Tamandua tetradactyla: one gene and its partner. The protein of the gene in region 1 interacts with the protein of each later gene in a pairwise test. Links are inferred from orthologs where the notes say so. Each region holds a gene or a part of one and is shown in the gene's direction. Other genes may lie near its edges. The genes, in order: POLR3C and POLR3GL.

Region 1 (10,870 bases):
CCACTTGATGGTGAGATATACTAAGGTGAACGGAGAGGATCAGGCGGCTCAGCTCCAGTCACATGAAGGCGAGTATTAAAGAGGGACCGCTGTAACTTCAGGCCACCCGCTCCACCTGAGTCGGAATTTAAAACATACAAACTTCTGAGCTCACGAAACCTCTGAGAAACACAGAAAGTAAAACTTGATTAATGCTAAGATGAGTTAAAGGAAAACTAAAAGTTAAGCCTGTTGTCTGCTTTTTGCCTTGTTTTCAAACCAGAATTTCCATGTTTTACTAAATTACATGTGGTACTACTACCTCAATTATTTCCCAACTGGCAAAAAGTCTGCACATTTTTCTCTCAAAGCTGCCCTGCCGTGTGTAACTTGAGAGCAGTGATCCAATTCCTCAGGTCTGTCACCACAAGGAGACAAAGTGGCCCCCAACAGGATACTGCTATAATGCAACAGCAGTCACTAATTTCTGAGACTAGTCCCCGTTCTAGGTTAATACCTTCTGTCTCGGCCTTAGCTAACATTCAATCATCTTACTGAAAAGCTCATCAGGATCCCAAAGTTAGAAATCAAAGCTATGCCAGAACAAAACCTGAGGCACCCTGACACTAGAAGGCAAATACTATCCCTCTCTCCCTCTACACCAAGGTTTCTCAATCTCAAAGCTCCTGACATTCTGGGGACTCTGTTGTGGGCAGGAGGGGAACTGTCCCATGCACTGTGGCCTGTCTGAGCAGCATCCTTGACCTCTACCCCTGAGTGCCTGCAGACACACCCCCTAAGTTATGACATTCAAACATGTCCGCACACACTGACACACGTCCTTCGGCGAGCAAGACCACCCTCAGCTGAGAGCCACTCCTCTATACTATCTCCTTTGTTTCTCATTACTAAGCTGTGGAGGATGGAAAAGAAGCCAGCATCCATAGGTTTCTTATCCTTAGGGTCCTTCTAGTTTGACTAGAAAACAAGAAGTAAACACAGCTTCTTTCCTCTTCTTATAAACCTTTCTTATAGGGTTGTCTCTAAGAATCCATCAATCTCTCCCTAAACACAAATAAAGGTCATAAAGAAACAAACACAAACACGAAATGCATTCAGTTGGTACTTCCCAGAAAAATACAAGGGATTTCATCTGCAATCATCTGCAGCGAATTTAAGATTTTGTTCTTCCTCATACTGAGAAAGTCCCACAAGATTTCCCCACTACATACACGTCTACTTATCAGTAGAATATCAAGGCTAGAAATAGCCACAAGAATGTATCTCTTATTTCTAGATCCTTGATGGGGATATATTTACTGACACTGAAGATTTGAGATTTACATGTATTATGTACCACTCTAGCCCTTTTAAATGAAGATCTCAAAACACTGAAGTCACTACTTCTAAATACAACTAGGTGGTGTTCAACTTATGACATCACTTATTCATTCCAGAAATATTTGACAGGCAAAATGCTATACAGTATCAGTTAGATGGTAAGGTAATTAAGCAGACTTTTTAGATGGTAAATCACCAATAGCAGAGTATAAGATAATCTAATAATTAAAATCTTTCAAATCCAGCTCAAATCACTAAATTGCTTCCCCTATGGAACACAACAACACTACTAACCTAACTTAGGTACTTCTCTGGGAGCTTTCTAAGAATCACGCAACATAGAAAGAGGTCAGTAAGTTTAGCATTTTAAGGGTTACAAAATTTAAGAAATTCACTTTTAACAATTCATGGGGTAATCAGAACATTTTCCTGTATTAGAGGCATTACAAATACAGCACAAATTAACAACTTGTGTAGCACCTGGTAAAGAGCCAAATGAGGTAATGTTACTTACTGGTAGTAACCACATTCTATTAGATCAAGGAAGGTGATATAATAAGGAGATGTGAGAGGGAAGAGAGGCCTGCTAGCCTCCGAGGCCACGACACACGTGCAGTCCTTAAACTGATCTCCATAAAGCACTTAAAAACTACCCTAGGAATTGATGAAAATGTTCTGAGAAATGATGAATATGTAACTAAGTGATGATATTGTGAGTTACTGATTATATATGTTAATGTTTTATTTGGTTTGTTAAATTTTTTAATTAATAAATAATTTTTTTAAAAAAAACTACCCTAGGCTCAGTTGTACCAAAAGTAGATTACTTCTGCATATGATTTATCCCACCTATTTAACAATGACACGACCGGATTCTATTTCACCAGATAATATTCCCTGAATGTAGTACAAAAATCGGGGGGGGGGGGGGAGGCAGGGTGGGAGGCGGAGTGACCTTACCTGCAGCCTCATGAGGTGCACTGAGGTGAGTCCCTAATCTGGCACACTTATCCCCATTGACCCTGGCTTCATACTATCTCTCAACAGGATAGGTGGGGAAACAGGAGCTTCTCCTGGGTTTGAAAATAATTTTAAGATACGTACCTCTTAATATTTCTTCTACCATGTAAAGACTGAAAAATTCACAGAGCCGTTTTACCCAATTATATATAAACCTGAAACCCTGAGGCTTCAGAATATATAATCAAGATCTCTTGGGCGGGCCATGGTGGCTCAGCAGGTAAGAGTGGTTGCCTGCCATGCCCTAGAACCCGGTTCAATTCCCGGTGCCTGCCCATGTTAAAAAAAAAAAAATCTCTTACTTTAAAATCCAAGTTTAGTACTCACCAAACTTTACTAAAATTATATTCACATTAATAGGAAAACATTTTTAGTACGAGAACTAAATTTCAAACTGGAGGATGGAACATCTGAAATCCGATAAGAAACAGAAACTACAGGGAAAAAAATGGAAAAATATGAGAAGGGACTCAGGGAACTGAATGATAATATGAAGAAGTAAATTCCAAAATCAATATTCCCTTCTAGGGACTCTTATTAGAGCTGACAGAAAACAGTACCATTGATACATTTAAATTTCACAATTCCCTTCATGATTTTCCCTAATTTCTTAATATCTCCTTTCTGAACAGAGGCTTTGTCCTCTTATTAGGAAGTATCCAAACCCAAGACACACGAAGCTGAGATGGATAGATCAGAACTAGTAGAAAGGCATGTTATTCCAACAAATTAAATTAATTTAACCATGCAGCTTAACCTCACAGCATTAGGCATAGAAGCTGTAATGAAAATTATTTTTCTTAATACAGAAATTAATTCTACAAAGTAATAGGACTAACAAGAAAAATGACAAACAAAAACCTAAAGGTAGATTCAGGTTTGAACCTTGGTTAAGCTGTTGCGATTGGCCACGCTCACTTCCAAATGTACCAAGAAATGACAGATTCCAAACACTGAGGGAGGTAAAAAAGGGAGGGAGCTGTGTACTTTTCCACCCAGTCTCAGTGAACAAGGGGAGACGGCAGGGGCCGAGATGGCGCCCCAGCAGGCACCCCACTGCGCGGGGAGGAAACCCACCCAGAAGTAGCTCATTAGAGGAGGTACAAATGCCCAGCCTCTGGCAGAGGAAGCGCTCCGGGTGATGCTGCTTCTTGTCACCCAACGGCTCCTACCCGCTTCAGATGCAAATTCAGTGAAGAGAGAGGAAAACGTTCTTCAAGGAGAGCTGGGTCTGGCCGGCCTCACACAGACCACAGGTTCCCGTAATGCACGTCCAGTTCCCCAAACATGCATGCCTAATGCAGGCTGGCTACTCACAGTGGGGGAATCTCAAATTCATATACACATATGAATACATATATGGATATATATATACACACGTTTTTTTTTTGTTTTTTTGGGCTACACATTAACTGAAGTAATCTCATAACAATCCTATTTACAATGGGTTCACATCACAGGAATGAATTAATATGAAGAACATGTTTGGAGGGTACATAACTTCAAGTCACACACCAATGAAGCTTACCTATATGACTCTATCCTCTATCTATGAAATAAACCCAAACAAAAACAAAGAAATCTATGTGAGAATGTTAACTTCAGCATATTTTTGAAATGGTCAAAAATTGAAAATAACCTCAATGTTTCTAGTAGGGACATAGCAATATATTATGGTTCTATCATATAGCGTTCTATGTGATCACTTACAAGAATGAGATCGTGTTCACCTATTAAGGAAAGTTCTCCAAGGTATATTAAGTAAATAACAAATTACCCCAAACAGTACCCAGAATATTATCTATAATATATGCTAGATTTAAATGATATATTTCATATAGAGATATACACATATATTTTCAAGTAATATTTCTTTCTACCAATTTTTTATTTAGATTGTTTTCTTTTTTTTATTAATTAAAAAAAAATTAACTAACACAACATTTAGAAATCATGCACATATGTTTTTAAACTTTTAAATGTTGAGTTTAGCCATGAAAATCAGGGCATTGACTTAGCAATGCTTGAGCTGGCTCTCCCTAGCAGAGACAGATTTGCACAGAACCAGCCACTTCATGGCCGGGTCATCCTTCTAACCAACTTCTCAAGATGACCATCTGGGCTTAAGGACACAGAGACGGCCAGGAAGCAAGATCAAACTCACTGGTTCATACACGAATCACGACTATAACCTTGACCTCAGGGCGCCTTTCCCTAGAAAAGCATAACAACGATATACTGCCTCTCCCCTCTTCCTCGACTCCCTCTTCCTTTTTCCACCTCACAGCCTAGGCTATTCTATCCCGTCTGAATTCACCCATCTCCTTCACAACCCAACTCACATGCCACACCTTCCTTGACCTCGCCAATGCTATCCTGTCCTCCTTTCTGCGAACATTACGGCATCTGTTACCCCATTCTCAGTCACCTTTGTTATTATGTTTTCCCTACCCATGCTGACTTTCCCACAAGATTGTGAGGTCCTTAGGGCAGGGACTGTAGATTCCTCCATGCCACCCCAGGACATGCCGCAGGAGGCCTTGTACGCATACAGCAATATTTATGATATTTAACTGTGTTCGGCTCAATTTCAGACAGGCATGACAGATACTAAATCAAAGTTAAAAGATCAAGAATTTCTCCTTCAGGCATTTAACAAGGCTTGAAAAATCACTTTTAAAATCCTCCAAATTACTGCTTTCTACAAGCACTTACGAGTGAAGACTTGAAGTGGTAAGAAGTGATAAGTTGTGAGAATTTGGACTAGATTTTCTCACTCTTAAAGGGAAGAGAGGGAACAATGACTTAAAACGTGGGAACAACGAGGCCGTAAAGTTCAGCAAAGCATCCTATCTGACAACAGGTCGAGGGTTCCCCGCATACTGGTGGATGCAGACTCCCCTCCACAGTGAAAGAGCTCTGCAAGTTCCAGCAGCACCGCTCTTCCCAGCTGAAACATGGAGAAAGGAAAACAAACAAAACCCACATGTATACAGCCAAATCACAGGCAAAGCTCAGCGTGCACATGCAGCACATGCGGCTTAATGGGTTAGCCGGACCCGAGCCCTAACCGCAGTCAGCCTCCAGGCCAGCGAACCCCGGGCCTGGACCAGAGGCAGCCCCCGCGACCCCCGAGGCCCGCTCTTCGCCGCGGGTCCCCGCAGCAGCTTTTCCGGGCAGGCGCCAGGGCAGCTGGCCGCCGCGGGGACGCCTCCTCCCGGCGCACACCCACCCCGGGGGCCAGAGCCTCGCGGGCCCCACGCGCCGACAGCGCCGTCTTCCGGGGAGCGGGCAGGGGCGCGCCGAGGACGCCGCAGGGGCCCCACGGGCCGAGCTGCAGCGCGGCCCCCGGTCACTCCGCTCAAGCGGGCGGGAGCGCGCGGCCGCCGTCGGGGCGCTGCGGTCCTCGGGCCCCTCGGCCACCAGGGCCCCCTGAGTCCCTGCTCACAGCCTATCCTTCAATTCCCTGAGTCCCTGCTCGTCCCGGGTGCGGCCTCCCCCCGGCGGGTGCGGGACGCAGCGGCACGTGGACAAGAAGCCAGGAGCGCGGCGGGCGGGAGCCGACAGGGCCGAGCGCGGCGCGAAGGTCATCGCGGGAGGAGAGGCGGCGACGCGCGCCCAGAGCCTGCGGAGGAGGACGCCGCCTCGGGGCCCCGCGGGAAGGCCGGGCGGGCGGGGCCGGGGTCGGGCTCTTACCGGCAGTTTAGGGCTGACCTCGCCCTTGCAGAAGTGGCAGAAAAACCGGTGCGCGGCTACGGCGGCGCCTGCGCCCGCCCCGGCCGCCGAGGCCTCCGCCATCTGTCCTCTTCCCCGCGGCCGTCCGAAGGGCAGCGGGCCCGTCCCTCCCCAGCCGCTATCTCCAGCCGCGGCCGCCGTCTCCTCAGGGCGCTGGGCGACCCAGCCACGGCGGTCACGTGAGCCCGCCAGGCCGCGGCCTCCCAGCACCAACGAGACACCGGGAGGAGAGTCCTCAACCGAGGCCCGCCCCCAGCACCAACGAGACGCAGGGAGGAGCGTCCTCAGCGAGGCCCGCCCCCGACATCGACGAGATGCCGCCAAGAGCGTCCTCGGCCGAGGCCCGCCCCCAGCACCAACGAGGCGCCGGCTGGAGAGTCCTCAGCCGAGACCCCACCCCCCAGCACCAACGAGACGCAGGGAGGACCGTCCTCAGCCGCGGCCCGCCCGCCGCCTTAGCCGGCCTCTTTTCCAACGAGAAGAAAGGAAGAGCGTCCCCGGAAACCGCAAAGCTGCGGGTAGAGCGGACGGCGCTTTTACACCGGGCGGGTTGGTTGTTTTGCAGGAAGGGCCGGAGGCCCCGATTTTCCTGGGCTCAGTCGCGTGAAGAGGTGGAGGGTTACTCGTCGCCGTCCCTAGGTGGGCGCCCCTGGACTGCAGCGACCCCGAGGTTAGTGGAACCAGGGCCCCGCGGGAAAGAGTGGAGGGTCCGGGTGGGACCCCTCCGCGGCCTCTCCGTGGGGTGCAGGGCCCGGGCGGGACCCCCCCGCGGCCTCTCCGTGGGGTGCAGGGCCCGGGCGGGACCCCTCCGCGGCCTCTCCGTGGGGTGCAGGGCCCGGGCGGGACCCCTCCGCGGCCTCTCCGTGGGGTGCAGGGCCCGGGCGGGACCCCCCCGCGGCCTCTCCGTGGGGTGCAGGGCCCGGGCGGGACCCCTCCGCGGCCTCTCCGTGGGGTGCAGGGCCCGGGCGGGACCCCTCCGCGGCCTCTCCGTGGGGTGCAGGCTTCGGGTGGGACCCCCCCCGCGGCCTCTCCGTGGGGTGCAGGGCCCGGGCGGGACCCCTCCGCGGCCTCTCCGTGGGGTGCAGGGCCCGGGCGGGACCCCTCCGCGGCCTCTCCGTGGGGTGCAGGGCCCGGGCGGGACCCCTCCGCGGCCTCTCCGTGGGGTGCAGGCTTCGGGTGGGACCCCTCCGCGGCCTCTCCGTGGGGTGCAGGGTTCGGGTGGGACCCCTCCGCGGCCTCTCCGTGGGGTGCAGGCTTCGGGTGGGACCCCCCCGCGGCCTCTCCGTGGGGTGCAGGGCCCGGGCGGGACCCCCCCGCGGCCTCTCCGTGGGGTGCAGGGCCCGGGGCCCCCAAACCTGCGCACCCTGTGGCGGCCGTGTCCGGTGACGCCGAGGCTGCGGGGCAGAGACTCCGCTTGCGAAGAATGTGGAGGAATCGGTGTAAACCAGCGTTTGGTGCAGAGTGTGGCACGAGGGAGTGACCACGTAATCGATCAGTTGTGCTTGTGTTTATTTTCTCAGGGAATAGAATTTGCGGAATTATCCTATTTGAAATACCACGTTGAGAAGCTCTCCTTTACCTTCTAATTGCGTCTTCTACACTGGCAGGTCTTTCATGGAGTGGGAATGATCCTGCCTGTTCACCGCGTGTGTCGTGAACACTGGTCTTAATTTTTCCAAGCAATGAAGTAAAGAATCTGAGGTCTGTGACGCGTCACAAAACTTTATATAATTAAAAAGAGTTAGAACCATGCGTAATCCCAAAAAGATAGGTTTGATGTATAGTCTTCCTGTCTTTTCCTTTTTCCTGTGCATACGTTTTTCTTTTTGTTTTTAAAGCAATTGAACTTTTTATTAGTAAAACTGTAGGTTTAGAGAAAAGTCTTGCATAAAATGCCGAGCTCCCATATACCCACCCTCCAGTTAGTAACACCTTGTATTAATGTGGTTCCTTTGTTACAACTGATGAAAAAATATTATGATTATACTACTAACTATTGCCCATGGTTTATATTAGGGTTCATTGTGTTGTGCAGTCCTATCTTATTGTGGTTTTTTTTAAAAAAATTTTGTTCTAGTAACTTACAGACAATCTAAAATTTCCTCTTTTGAACACATTCTTATATATAATTCGGTGCCGTTAATTCCATTCACAATGCTGTGCTTCCATGACCACCATCCGTTACCAAAACTTTTCCATCACCCACGTAGGAACACTGTCCAACTTAGACATTAAGTTCCCTCCCCCTAGCTTATCCCTGGTAACTTAAATCCTAGTTTCTGATTCTGTGAATTTGCTTATTTTGACTTTCATATTAGTGAGATCATGTAATATTTGTACTTTGTTATCTAGCTTATTTCACTCTTGAGTTTTTAATAGACATTTTGTTTTGTAACTAGCTCTTTTGACTTAATGCATTATAGCCAATTTTATATGCTAATCAATATTGTACTATATCATCTTAAATGTTATAGTATTCCATTGTATGGGTAGACCCTAGTTTATTGAACAAATGCCTTACTAGACATTAGGTTGTTCAGTTTTTCACTGAATAAAGAAACGTACAGTGACATCTTTTTATAGTACGCAGAGTGAAACTGTCAGGTTGAAGGTGTGCCAGAATGTAAGGCTTTTGCTGGATTTTACCAAATTGCCCTCCAGAAAGAGTACACGAATTTATACTCAGTGGCTCTACTCCCAATAGGAAAGAAAAACTTTCTGTGCTACTATCATTAATTGTGTTCTCCCCCCCCCCCTTACTTTCTAGTTTTGAAATCTCCCCGTTACAATGACTCAAGCAGAAATTAATCTGTGCTCTTTGTTGCTGCAAGAGCACTTTGGAGAGATAGTAGAAAAAATTGGAGTCCATCTAATCAGAACTGGCAGTCAGCCACTAAGAGCAATTGCCCATGACACAGGAACATCGCTGGATCAGGTCTGTTTAGATGGCATTAATTTGCTCTTCTCTAACCTACCTTAAAATATTCTTCCCCAACCCAGAAAATGAAAAAGCTTGCCCTGGAATCAGTGCAGCTTTTTTTTTATTTGTGGGAAAGAGGGTGGGACTTAGGCACCAAACTTCTCTTCTTAGGGAATTCCTAGTTCATTGTGTCTTCCTAGGCAAACCCTTCACCTTCCCTTGCCAACCTCATGTACTCAGGACGGTTTTGTTCATCTCAGTACTACTTTTAAGGAATGAGGATGATAGAGGGAAAGAAAAGTGCTTTGAAGGATAAGGCTCAGAGGACAGATGAGCATCATAGCGAGGAATTTTTCCGGATTTCTTTCCTTGACATGTGATTCTTGTTAACTTTTCCAATTAAGGAAGGAAGGAGTGAAACATTCTTGTCTAGATTTCCTAATGCTTAGAAAGCTATTGGACAAAAAATTGCCAGTAATATTGAGCTATGGCGTCAGGCCTTTTCCTCTTTTTTTTCCTTTTCTACGTAGGTAAAAAAAGCCCTTTGCGTCCTCATTCAGCATAATCTAGTAGTATACCAAGTGCACAAGCGTGGCATGGTGGAGTATGAGGCCCAGTGTGGCCGGGTGCTATGGATGCTCAGGTATCCCCGGTACATCTACACTGCCAAGACGCTCTACGGCGACACCGGCGAGCTGATCGTGGAAGAGCTGCTGCTGAATGGTAAGATGACGATGTCAGCTGTGGTGAAGAAGGTGGCAGACCGGCTCACAGAGACCATGGAGGGTCAGTATTGTATCCATTGGCTGCTGCAGGAGTGGACCCCCAGCTGTCTCAGGCCGTCTCAACTGCCCCTTTCCTCTCCTGTGCAGACGGCAAGACCATGGATTACTCCGAGGTTGCACACACCTTTGTGCGCCTGGCCGACACGCACTTCGTGCAGCGCTGCCCCGCAGCGCCTGCCCCTGAGAACTCAGACCCTGGGCCACCGCCACCTGCCCCCACCCTTATCGTTAATGAGAAAGACATGTACCTGGTTCCTAAACTGAGCTTGATCGGTAAGAAATTTGACCCCTGAAACTATTATCCTAATCGTATAGTTTTCATTGTTAATTGAATGAATCAGTCGTGACGGGCCAACAAGAACCGCACCCTTAGTCTAGTGTAGGAAATGTACGGTAGTCAAATATCTGCACAAATATATAACAAACTGATGAGTGCTGTAAAGAAGAGCAAGGGTAATGGAAATATGGAGCAGAGGACCAGGTTTATCTCAGGTTAGGTAGGGCACGTGCTTCTTTGAGGAAGTGGCATATGAGCCAGATCTGAAACAGAGGTAGGAGCCAGCGATGAGGTGTGGAGGAGTACAGTTACAGTGAGGAATTAAAAATACAGGGTATTTGAGGAACTGAAACATGGTCAGTGTGTCAAGAGGCAGGCAGGGGCTTGGTCAGGCAGGACCTATGGAGCATCTGTTCTTAAGAGCAAAGGAAGACCACTGAAAGATTTTAAACCAGGGAAATGACATGATCTAATTTACATTTTTAAAAGATTTTTCTACAGAAAGAATGGGAGAGTAGGTCAAATGTAAATGTAGACCAACCAGTAAAAAATCAGATGCAGAAAACATGAGAGAGACAGAGCATTTTAAGAATCACATGTTGTGGCTGAGAGAGTTCAAAGAGAGTCAAGAGGCTACTCTGTAGGTCACTGTTCAGTTAGACATTGGTACCTATCATAGTTTGCCAAACCCCAACCAAAACTATTCCAGCCAATCCTAAAGAACACCTAGGGCATTGTATAAGATTCTACAAGGGTTCCATGCATTAGAGTAACTTTCCAGAAACCTACAACCTTCAGGTGGGTCCCTGGACC
Region 2 (10,508 bases), about 110 kb from region 1:
TGAGGATGGAATAAGAAACTGGAGAAAGTGGTCAGAAAAAATAAAAACTGTGATCTGTGTTTGGAAATGCTTATAGATTCATTCATTTTTAGAGCTGGAAGGGACTTCAGAGATTAACATGTTCAACTCACGCTACAGAAGGGGCCACCTCAAGGTCGCAGAGCTGGGCACAAATCTACGTGTCCTCATGCTGATGTTACTTCCCATATGGAATCTCACCCTGAATCCAAGGCCCAGTCCATGGTCGAGCCTCCTGAGGGTCTGCAAAGCCCCCTAAAGCTATAAGTAAAATTTTGGATATGCGTGCACAGGACTACGCATATGTGGGGGGGGGCGGTAGTTTTTATCAGGTTTTCCGAGAGGAACCACAGGTGCGAGGTTTTCCTAAGGGCTGTGAGGTAGCAGTGAGGCAGGAGGTGAGACTGACTGACACGCACATAACTGCTTCTGTCTGAAAAGGACAAACAAGACCAAGAGTGACGAATATTTAACTGCTTGTATCGTGATGTTGAACAACAACAACGAAATAGAGTAAATTTGGTTTTTGCCCTTAGGAGATAAAGGAATAGATGAATGTCTAGGAGGAACAAATGGTCCAGATCATACGTCTACCAGAGTAAAGACACAAAAGGACACATGAAACCAGAGTAAGGCGTTTACGTCATCATAATACAGTTTCGTTGTAGGGGAGCACGGATAAATAGACGGTAAACAGACAATGACACTGAGAGGTGAGTGCGGAGGTTCTTGCTGCTCACGCCAGGATGGCGAGAATAGGCCGTCCTGTCTTAACTCACATTATTACGCAAGATAAGGAAGCTGCTTAACAATATTTCACCTGACACTTCAGTTTTTAGGAGGTATCTCTGAATCACCCAATCATACTACACGCCTTCTATCAGCTGTGATTTCTTTCATGCTTGTTTCTTCCTAGGTGCACAGAACTGTGATCCTCCAGTCCAGAAATTTGTTACTCACTGGGAAAGCAGAGCCATGAACATGCAATTACAACACGGTTTTCAGTGCATTTCAAAACACCAAAAATTCAGTCTTCCACAGCACTTCTACCCACATTTACTTGATACTACTTAAAATAACTGCTTGTTTTCTCCCCAAAATTCTCCTCCAGACCCATCCCAGAAAGACTTGTTTGCTGCACCCTAGGAACCTGTTGAGCATAAATAATAGAAAAGCCGCAGTACTTGATGTTTTATTTTGTTCGTTCATGGACACCACTGAGCAGATTTTGGGGGGGATGCGTGGTCTGGGAACCGAAACCAGGTATCCCGCATGGAAGGTGGGCATTCTACCACTGAACTACCCAGGCACCCTGAGCAGATTAAAAAGAGATCTGTAAAATATATGCAGCTTCTGAGAACAAACAGCACTATGCCAGAGTATAAATATAAAGATGCAGACCCCTTCTTCAAATAACCACACAAATCCAGGGCTACCCGGGAGGAGCAAGAGAAGCAAGTGGAGACTCAGTGAGTAGATTCTTTGGAAGAGAGGAACCGAGGCACAGGGACTTTGGTATGTGCCACACATCCATAACCTAGTCCTCGGAACTGCGAGTGTGACCTCCGGCAGCAAGGACTTTGAGGGTTGATTAAATTAAGGACTTGAAATGGTGAGATTATCCTGGGGGTCTGAGTGGGCCCTGAATGCAGACACAAGTATCCTAACAGGGAAGGAGAGGCAAGTGGCCACAGAGGGCAGCGCCGCAGTCACAAGCCGAGGAGTCCCAGCAGCCGCCAGGATCCGAAGAGGTTAGAGCAGGTTTCCCCAGAGCCCCTGGGGAAAGCATGGCCGGCACCCTGAGTGTGGTCCACATGCACTGATTTCAAACGTCTGGCCTCCAGAACTCTGGGAGAATAAATTGCTGTCATTTTAAGCCACCAAGTCTGTGACAGCTTGCTATAGCAGCCATGGGAAACTAATATAGGGGACAACACAGTTTCCCAAACTGGAAATATTCAGACCAATCATTTTAACCCCACGGTCACTTTCAGGCGAAGCTGCCTGTAATTCTGAGGAGAAAGGACAACAAAGCAGAAAATACCATTCAAGTGACACTTGTTCAACCTAGAAAAGTAGCGGGGCACAACCTCTAATCACGTAGCCATACTATAACATAAAGAGAGGGCAATAATTCAAAAAATCAGGCTTGAAGAGAGCAATGCAGCAGTTACACAGCAAGGAAAGTGACTTGGCCATTCAGTCAGTTATGCTGGTTTGGGGATTGCTAGCTGTCAGGCATTGCAAGAAGGTGGCTCTATGTCATGTGGAAAAGGGGGGACAAAGGAGGCAGAGTGTTAGCAATACCTGTCGTGTGCAGAGTCTTCAAACAACTTCCAGATGCATAATGACAGCAACCACTCACTGGGTACCACGTGGATTGGGAACTTTATATTCGCTGTCTTGTTCAATCCACACAGAGCCATCAAGACAGGTATGACGATGCTCATTTACAGAGAGTAAAAAGGATCACACCACAGTGGCAGAACCAGGGTTTAGAACCAATGTTTGTTTGGCTTCAAAGTCAACCCACTTTCTGTTGTACTCTCCTGCTTTACTACACCATTCATCCTCACACTTGTTTGGAAAGTGGATGTGAGTTCCACGAGACTAAGGACTGAGAAGCTGTCTTGTTCACCACTGCGTCTGCTGAGCAATAAATACTTGTTGAATGAATGAATGAAACTATGGGGTCTTGAGAGATTAAGCAAGATCACACAGCCAGAACTGATCAGGATCCTACAGCATACTGGGCTGTGCGTGTATCTTTGGAAGTGGATAGGTAATAAAAGGACAAACAGCTGAAATTCCAGAAGAGTTTTTGAAGAAACGCTGAGATCCTAGAAGAATGGGGTAAAGGGTGAGTGTGAAGAAGATGGAGGGTGTGCACTGAAGACGGTGCAGGAAAACACTGCTGGTCCAAGAAACGGTCTGGGCAAAGGCCAAAATATGCTGTACTCAGGAGAGCAGAGCCAGCCCCCAAACACCAAATGCCATCAGTCACATGGGCGTGTGGGACATGCCAACGGCAGCTTTGCCTATTCATTGGAGCAGAATAAGTGATTCCATGTGGGGATGGACTTCTAAGCCAAATCAGCAGAGATTCGCTTGCCTGAAGTTTAACTATCTGCCAAACTCTTCCAAAGTACTGGCTGGATATCCAGACTGGAAACGGGAAGCGAGCATCATGGGAGGGCCTGCGGTGGGAGGTGGGGGGCTGGAGGAGGGGTCTCCACACAGCCTACAGCGCGACTGACTGCTCGATGTCAGCACAACTCCCTTGTTCCCCATCCTTTCTAGGGAAATGAAAAAAGTGTCCAGATTAGAGGCTTTCCAGGTAACACAACTAAGAAAGGATACATTGTAGACTTTTAATAAATGCCTTATCTTCCCCAGAGGAAGTGGTCAGATGTCAGACTGCCAGTCCTGGCCATGCCCATACCCAGAACCAGAGGCTGTCCCTTGGCCTCCACCTATAGATCTGAAGCAGGACACAGTGGATGGCAGTTCCATCACATTGTCCTCTAAAAACCAGAAACTAAAGTAGAAAAAGAACTCTATCCCCTCACGGTGAGTTCCAAAAGCACATCCACTGCATCCCCAGTACCTTGCAGCGTGCCTGCCCCATGGTAGAAATTCAAAGTACATGAAAAATGAAGGAAAATGATCATAAATGAATCACTGGACATATAAATAGCAAAATGGACCTAAAATTTTGTTTTCATACAAATCTTTGAGTTTACACTGTACAGATTTAGAGTGGGAGGAAATGAGATATGTTCTTCCCAAGAAAATATAAACCAATATATTTTAGATATTAATAATAGTTATCATTTAGTAAGTACCCATTATGTGTCATTTAATCCAAATCATAACCCTTGAAGAAACTGAAGCTCAGTGAAATTGAGTCACTTCACCAAGAACACAGGATGGCAAAGATGTAATCTGGGACTGAATCCAGACCTGCCTGACTCCAAAACCCGTGCCCCTTTAGCTGGGCTTTCTCAGACAAAACAAGTGGTCACCATCTAAGGACAGCCCTGCAGTGTCTCTGCATTATTGTTAAACCAGAAAGCCAAAGGCGTTGTCATTTCCAGGCCGAGCAGACAGAAGTGATGTCTTAAAATTCCAGACCTAAAAGCTGCCTTCCTCACCCCTCAGCAGATAGTCCTTGTCCGTTACACTAAATCTGAAACTTCAGCTCAGAAAGAAACTGGTTAAATAAAAACCACAGAGAAAATCCTCCCATCCCCCTTGCCAGAAACCGTACAAATGAGGCATCTCTAAGATGAAGATTTCTAATGGAAATAGAGTTTCTGCCTGGCTCATCTCCACAGAAGTGAGCACTCGGGGCGCCCGGGCCTGGGCTTTATGCTCAGTTCCTGGGCAAGGGCCAGGACCGCGGGGCCCGCCGGCCGGAGGCCAGGGGCGCGGCCGGGCGCGCAGACACTTGGCTGGGGTGGGCGCCACGCCGGGGGCCCAGATTTGGAGGCGCAGCTACCGAGTGGCGCGCGCAGGCGCCAGGTTGTCCTGAAGTTGTGCAGGAAGTTGCCGAGGGAAGTAGGAAAAGCACTGGAAAGTCAAGGTTAAGGAGAGAGTGACGGAGCGGGGGGCTTGGGGAATCGCTGGGCTCGCTGGGGACAGTCCGCGAGGACACGACTGAGAAAAGTCCGGGATCGAAGATAAGGCTGAGCGGCCCAGACCACGGGCCTGGCCCTCGACGGGGAGGGGTGCTGAGACAGCACTTTACACAAGCCCCACTTCACAAGGGGGAGGGCCGGGGAAGAAAAGACGGCCGGGGCGCGGGGGCGCGGGGCCGCAGGGGAAGGAGGGGGCCGCTCGGTAAAGGGGTGCACGAGTGCGCGCTGGCCGCCCCAAAGGAGCCCCCGACGGCCACGCCGCGGGGCGCGGGCGGGGGGCGGGGGGCGCTGCCGGGGCGAGGGCCTGCACTCACCTCGCCCGTAGCCCTGCGTGTGCTTGGCGAAGCTCCTCACCACCGCCTCCACCGCTTCGCGCAGCACCGCGGGGCCGCCGGCCGCTCCCGGAGGCAAGGGCAGCCCGGGGGCCGCGGGCGGCGGCGCGGGGGGCGGCGGCGCGGGTGGGGGGCCCCCAGGAGGCGTGGCGGCCGCGGCCCCCGTCACTCCGGGCCGCAGAGCTCGCAGAGCGCCGCGCCCGCCGGGCCCCACTCCGGGCTGCAGGCGCTGGGCGCGCATCGTCTCCATCCGCCGCGGCGGGAGCGGCGGCCCGGAGTCCGGCGAGGGGACTGCCCAGCGGCCCGGCCAGCTCCAGGGGCGGAGGGCGGGGCCGGGCGGCAGCAGCCTGGCGGGGGTGGGGAGAAGCCAGGCCGCACGCCAGTCATCAGGGAGAGGGCGGGGAGAAGCCGGGCCGCACGCCAGTCATCAGGAAGAGGGCGGGGAGAAGCCGGGCCGCACGCCAGTCATCAGGGAGAGGGCGGGGAGAAGCCGGGCCGCACGCCAGTCATCAGGAAGAGGGCGGGGAGAAGCCGGGCCGCACGCCAGTCAGCAGGGAGGGGGCGGGGAGAAGCCGGGCCGCACGCCAGTCACCAGGGAGGGGGCGGGGAGAAGCCGGGCCGCACGCCAGTCATCAGGGAGGGGGCGGGGAGAAGCCGGGCCGCACGCCAGTCACCAGGGAGGGGGCGGGGAGAAGCCGGGCCGCACGCCAGTCATCAGGGAGGGGGCGGGGAGAAGCCGGGCCGCACGCCAGTCATCAGGAAGAGGGCGGGGAGAAGCCGGGCCGCACGCCAGTCATCAGGGAGGGGGCGGGGAGAAGCCGGGCCGCACGCCAGTCACCAGGGAGAGGGCGGGGAGAAGCCGGGCCGCACGCCAGTCATCAGGGAGGGGGCGGGGAGAAGCCGGGCCGCACGCCAGTCATCAGGGAGGGGGCGGGGAGAAGCCGGGCCACACGCCAGTCACCAGGGAGAGGGCGGGGAGAAGCCGGGCCGCACGCCAGTCACCAGGGAGGGGGCGGGGAGAAGCCAGGCCGCACGCCAGTCATCAGGAGGGGCGGGGGCTGCCGGATCCAGGCCAGCCATAGGCGAGTTACCGCGGAAGGCGGAGGGTCTTCGCGGCCAATCGCAGAGGGGAAGCTGCATCCTCTTCAAGGGAGAAGCGGGACTTGGGCCGGTCTTTGGGGATCCCGTGGTGAGTACGAGAAAGCGGGCCAGACCCCTGGGGTGGAGCTTAGAGAAAAAGTAGGAGTCGATACAAGGCTGGGGAGAACTGTAGACAGAGTGAGAGGATTCTTAAAAGTAATTGCCCGACTACTTCATTTGACAGCTGTAGATGAAGAAACTGGCTCAGAGAAGTGGTGTGTAAGATCACACGCAATTGATGGTAGAGACAAAGCAAGGAAAGATACTGACAATGAGCTGACTCTTAAGCTCTACGTCAGGCACTAGGCGATGGGCTTTACTGCATTGTCTTATTTAATAATCTCAATCACTAATTCAGTTTTGTTTTATGGACAAGTAAACTGACGTTCAGAGAGACTATATAAATTGCCCTATATCAAATAGCTAGGAAATGGCAAAGCGAGATTCAGACCGATAGGTCTTCTGACTCCCAGTATTTTGATATTTTCACTACACCACATTGTTCAGTGACTTTCTCATTTGACCTAAATTGGAGGAGAGAGTAAAAGTAGGATGGGCAACAACCTTCACCTCCCAGTAGAGTGAAAAGAGAATATATGTAAAAACCCAGCCAACTGAGAGGATAGATTAGCGCAGTGACCCTGTTCATAGGCCCTCCAAGGCTGGGCTTCTTCGGTTACTCCTACACACTCCCTGCACACCCAGTGTCAGTTGACCATCATGTCATGTTTACACAGGTGAAATTATTCTAGGTACTCCTCTCCACCCCACCCCCACCTCCCTTATTCTCTTTCTCACTGTGCCCTACAGTGACTCAGAAATCAATAATGGGGAAAAAGAGGCCAGAAGTAGAAGAAAATGAATAAGAGATACCCCCAAGGAAAAGCACGGAGTGATCAAGAAATAGGAAGCTTGGAAGAGGGACATTTAATCTAATGAAATGTGTCTGTTGAGGGCAGAGCTGTAGGGATCTAAGTTAAAGAGCTTGGGAAGGGATGTGGGAGAGAATGGGGGGAAGAAAACCCAGTTAAATGACTTAAAGCCTTCAGAACACTTACTTTTCCTTCTACAAACACGGTTGGTCATGTGGCCCCCTAGAAAGTAGGTGGCTGGAACTTCTAAATATCTCCTGGATCATTATAGCTTTGGTCAGCATCACCCTCCCTCCCCACCATTTCTCATATCCCATGTTTACCACTCCCAGGCAGAAGAGTGACAAAGCAGAGACTTCTGAACACTTTTATTTGATATGTCAAGTGGAGAGAGAAGTGATTTAGGATTGCCCCCCACTTCACCTGTGGGGGTGTTCATAAGCTCAGACAAAAACAGAAGAGCAGCTAAGGGCTCAACCTGCCCTTTGGGAAAACGAGACAACCTGCTGTGGTGTATTAGTTGGGGGAACAGGGCAGGCATGAAAAGCATGGAGTTGAGAAGGGAAGCTGAGAGCAGGAAGAGCATCAGCAGAAGTGAGGTTGGGAGTTACCACAGGAAACCTCCAAGAAGAATGAAGAAGATAATCCTCAAAAGCGGATGGGGCTGGACGCAGTGTGTGAACAGGGAGCCCACCCTGGAAAAGCAAGGCCTGCAGAGCAGGGTGGGGCAGTTGTGAAGAGGGGAGTGTGTGTAAAGTCATGATGGCGCCTGTGTTACAGGGCACACGTGGAAAGCAGGGGGTTGCCATTTAGGGGACGTTTTCAGCAGGAGGGCAAATACAGCAAGGACTACCCATAGGCAGGACCTCCCTACTGCTTCTGACAAATGCGAGCGAGTTTGGGGTCCGTGTGGAGTCCTCGCACAAGTGGCCCTGTGTGTTTATTGGTTTGCCATGCCTCTGGGCACACAAGTGATTTCATATAGGTGTGAAGTGAGCAGGGCATGAAGGCATGGGTCTATAGGCCCAGTAAATAGAGATTACCCTTTCCTACAAATAGTACTGTGCTTGTGAACACGTTTACCCACGTGTGCGTGCAGCGTGCCCATGAGCACATGCAAGTGACCCTGTGCAATGCGTGCGAGCTGTTCCCCCATCTAGTCCTCAGGCCCTGACCCCCAGCCTCCCGGCTCCTCTCCCGTGTCTCAGCGCCCCGGCTCCCCCGGCCCACCGAGACTCTGGAAGCCCCCTAGCAGGCGGATCTGCTCAGTTTGCATGGAGTGGCGCCGCACCAACTTGCGCTTGGCCCTGGGAGAGCCTGGCACCCCCGCGTGGGGAGGGGCGGGCAGCGAAGGCGCCCGACCTCCGGGCTGGGGGCGGATGTCGGGAATGGGGGGGTGGGGGCTAACGTTGAGAGGCGGTAGGAAGCCAGGCCGAGTTTGCGCGATGTGGTCCAGGAGCAAGGTCCCTGAGCCCCTCCGCTCCAGCAGCCCGGGGCTCCGCCTCCGGCCGCTCAGCGGGGATACAGCCCCGGGCAGACTCTCCTGGGACTGGCGCGGGGAGGGGGCCGAGGCAGCGGGCGGGAGGGTCAGTGGGGAGGCGCTGTATCTGCGGCGCTCCAGGGACGGGCGGCCGCACTCGGGCGAGTCGGGGCACAGATGTCCGGGGCCGTCGAGCTCCACTGGCTCCATGCGGCTCAGTTTCTGCCTCAGCCCTGCAGGGGGGCAGGGCTCCTGCGCCTCCGGCGCCGTGTTGCGCCGGGAGAGGGGCCCCCCGCCCGCCACCTTCTCCGCCCACGGAGGCGGGTCCTCTGGGCCCTCGGTGCTGTGACGGCGGGAGAGGCGGGGGCGGCCGGTCAGGCTGAGGCCGTTGAACTCGGCCGTCAGGCGCTCTAGCCCGGGCCTCGCCTCGGCTGGCGGAGCCGGTTGAGGGGGGGCCACGAGGCCCCAGGGCTCAGAGTTGAGCCTTTTCAGTGGTTTTGGGGGGTGGCGGGGTGGCTTGGGAAGTGGCTCGGAAGGGGAGGGGTCATCGGGGGGCTTGGGGAGCGGGAATTCAAAGACGTCCCGCCTCTCCTCCTCCTCCTGGGCGCGAGGGGACAGCGCCCCCCGGCCTCCCGCCGCAGCCTGCAGCTGGATCTCCGAGGGCGACGTGCAGAGCCCTGGGCTAGGGGGGGCCGGGGCGGGGTCCTCCACCCCTGGGGAGGGTGGGGAATTCAGATACTGCCGGGTCTTCTTGGTACCCGAGGGCGAGGTGTCAGTGGTGATAATGATGACCTCCGTGCCCTTGGCCTTGCAGGCGTCCAGCAGCGTGGCGAGGGTCTCGCGGTCCCCGCGGTCCAGGGCGTGGACGAGCGCCGAGGCGCCCGCGTGGTCTCGCACCGAGGGGTCCGCGCCGTGGGCCAGGAGCAGCGAGGCCACGGCGGCGCCCCCCCCTCCGGCGCACGCGTGCATGAGCGCTGTGCGCCCCAGGCGGTCGGCGATGTTGGGGTCGGCGCCCTGCTCCAAGAGGTAGCGCACCATGCGCGCCTTGTTCTGCGGGTCGTCGTAGCGGGCGCGGCAGGCGGCCATCAGCGCGGTCTCTCCCTGGGCGTCGCCCTCATTCACATAGGCGCCCCCCTCCAGGAGCAGACGGGCCAAGCGGAGCTTGCCCTGCCCCACGGCCCGAAGCAGAGCGTGGCCCTCGGTGTGCAGCATGGCTGCGGCTGGGACAAGGCCGGAGGCGACGCGGCCGCCACCGGGACCTGCCGAGGACGGCGAGGCGAGGCGCTGCGGTGGCTGGCAGAGGTCCGAGGGGTCAGCGGCGAAGTCGATCCCTGCGATAAAGAGAGACCGTATTGACGGATCCGGGCAGAGTAACGGAGGCACGGACGGCAGGACCCGGGCTGGGGGGCGGGGGCAGATCCCCATGGCACACTGTCCTTCCTCTAAGCCATGCCTCCGAGCCGCCCCTTCCCCGCTAGCGCATGCCTGAGGCGGTGGGAAGGGTGCACCCGCACTGGGGGGACGAGCACGCGTGCAAATGCATACGTGCACGCGCGGGGATATCCGTACCCCCACCCTCACCCCAAGGCTTATCAGACCTCTCCCGCAGCCCTCGTTTCTTATCCGCACTTGGAATCCCCTTTCTAGGGTGCTGAACGCCCCCCGCCCCCACACTCGCATCAGTACACTCGCATCCACATTCCCAGTCCTAGCCTCTTCTAGGCGGCCACAGCCCCAGATGCTGAGTGGGGGCAGGGAAGCGCCTTGGGTTTGGGACCTAAAACGGGTGGGGGAAGAATTGGGGGTTTCTTTTGCCCCTGCTGATATGTTCCCCATCACTCCTCGGCTCATTCCCCTCCCAGGCTGTGCGCCCAAATAGATACCTGAACGTTCGCAGAATCGCCGCCAGGCCAGGACCGAGGTCGGGGCCGCTGGGCAGCCCGCGAGGGGGAGCCGGGCTCCCGGGGGCCCACATGGCTGGAGGGGGGCCCCGAATTCCCTTGGTGTCAGTATCTGCCCCGGCGCC

Evidence for each region.
Region 2: the proteins of POLR3C (region 1) and POLR3GL interact in binary tests that used the Homo sapiens proteins (3 or more experiments, as listed by UniProt). The link is inferred for Tamandua tetradactyla from reciprocal best matches to the Homo sapiens genes POLR3C and POLR3GL.

The regions. Positions count from the first base shown.
Region 1 is NC_135330.1:1,316,766-1,327,635, forward strand, and holds the start of POLR3C (DNA-directed RNA polymerase III subunit RPC3), read left to right. Parts: upstream 1-6,386; 5' UTR 6,387-6,745; intron 6,746-7,595; exon of another isoform or gene 7,596-7,682; 5' UTR 7,683-7,776; intron 7,777-8,842; 5' UTR 8,843-8,863; coding exon 8,864-9,010; intron 9,011-9,525; coding exon 9,526-9,781; intron 9,782-9,867; coding exon 9,868-10,053; intron 10,054-10,870. Other genes in the region: E3 ubiquitin-protein ligase RNF115, read right to left, coding at 6,037-6,138. UniProt on the Homo sapiens protein: DNA-dependent RNA polymerase catalyzes the transcription of DNA into RNA using the four ribonucleoside triphosphates as substrates.
Region 2 is NC_135330.1:1,430,530-1,441,037, forward strand, and holds the start of POLR3GL (DNA-directed RNA polymerase III subunit RPC7-like), read left to right. Parts: upstream 1-6,067; 5' UTR 6,068-6,179; intron 6,180-7,363; exon of another isoform or gene 7,364-8,206; coding exon of another isoform or gene 8,207-9,694; intron 9,695-10,508. Other genes in the region: LIX1L (LIX1-like protein), read right to left, coding at 4,973-5,240; ANKRD34A (ankyrin repeat domain-containing protein 34A), read right to left, coding at 8,207-9,694. UniProt on the Homo sapiens protein: DNA-dependent RNA polymerase catalyzes the transcription of DNA into RNA using the four ribonucleoside triphosphates as substrates. Specific peripheric component of RNA polymerase III which synthesizes small RNAs, such as 5S rRNA and tRNAs.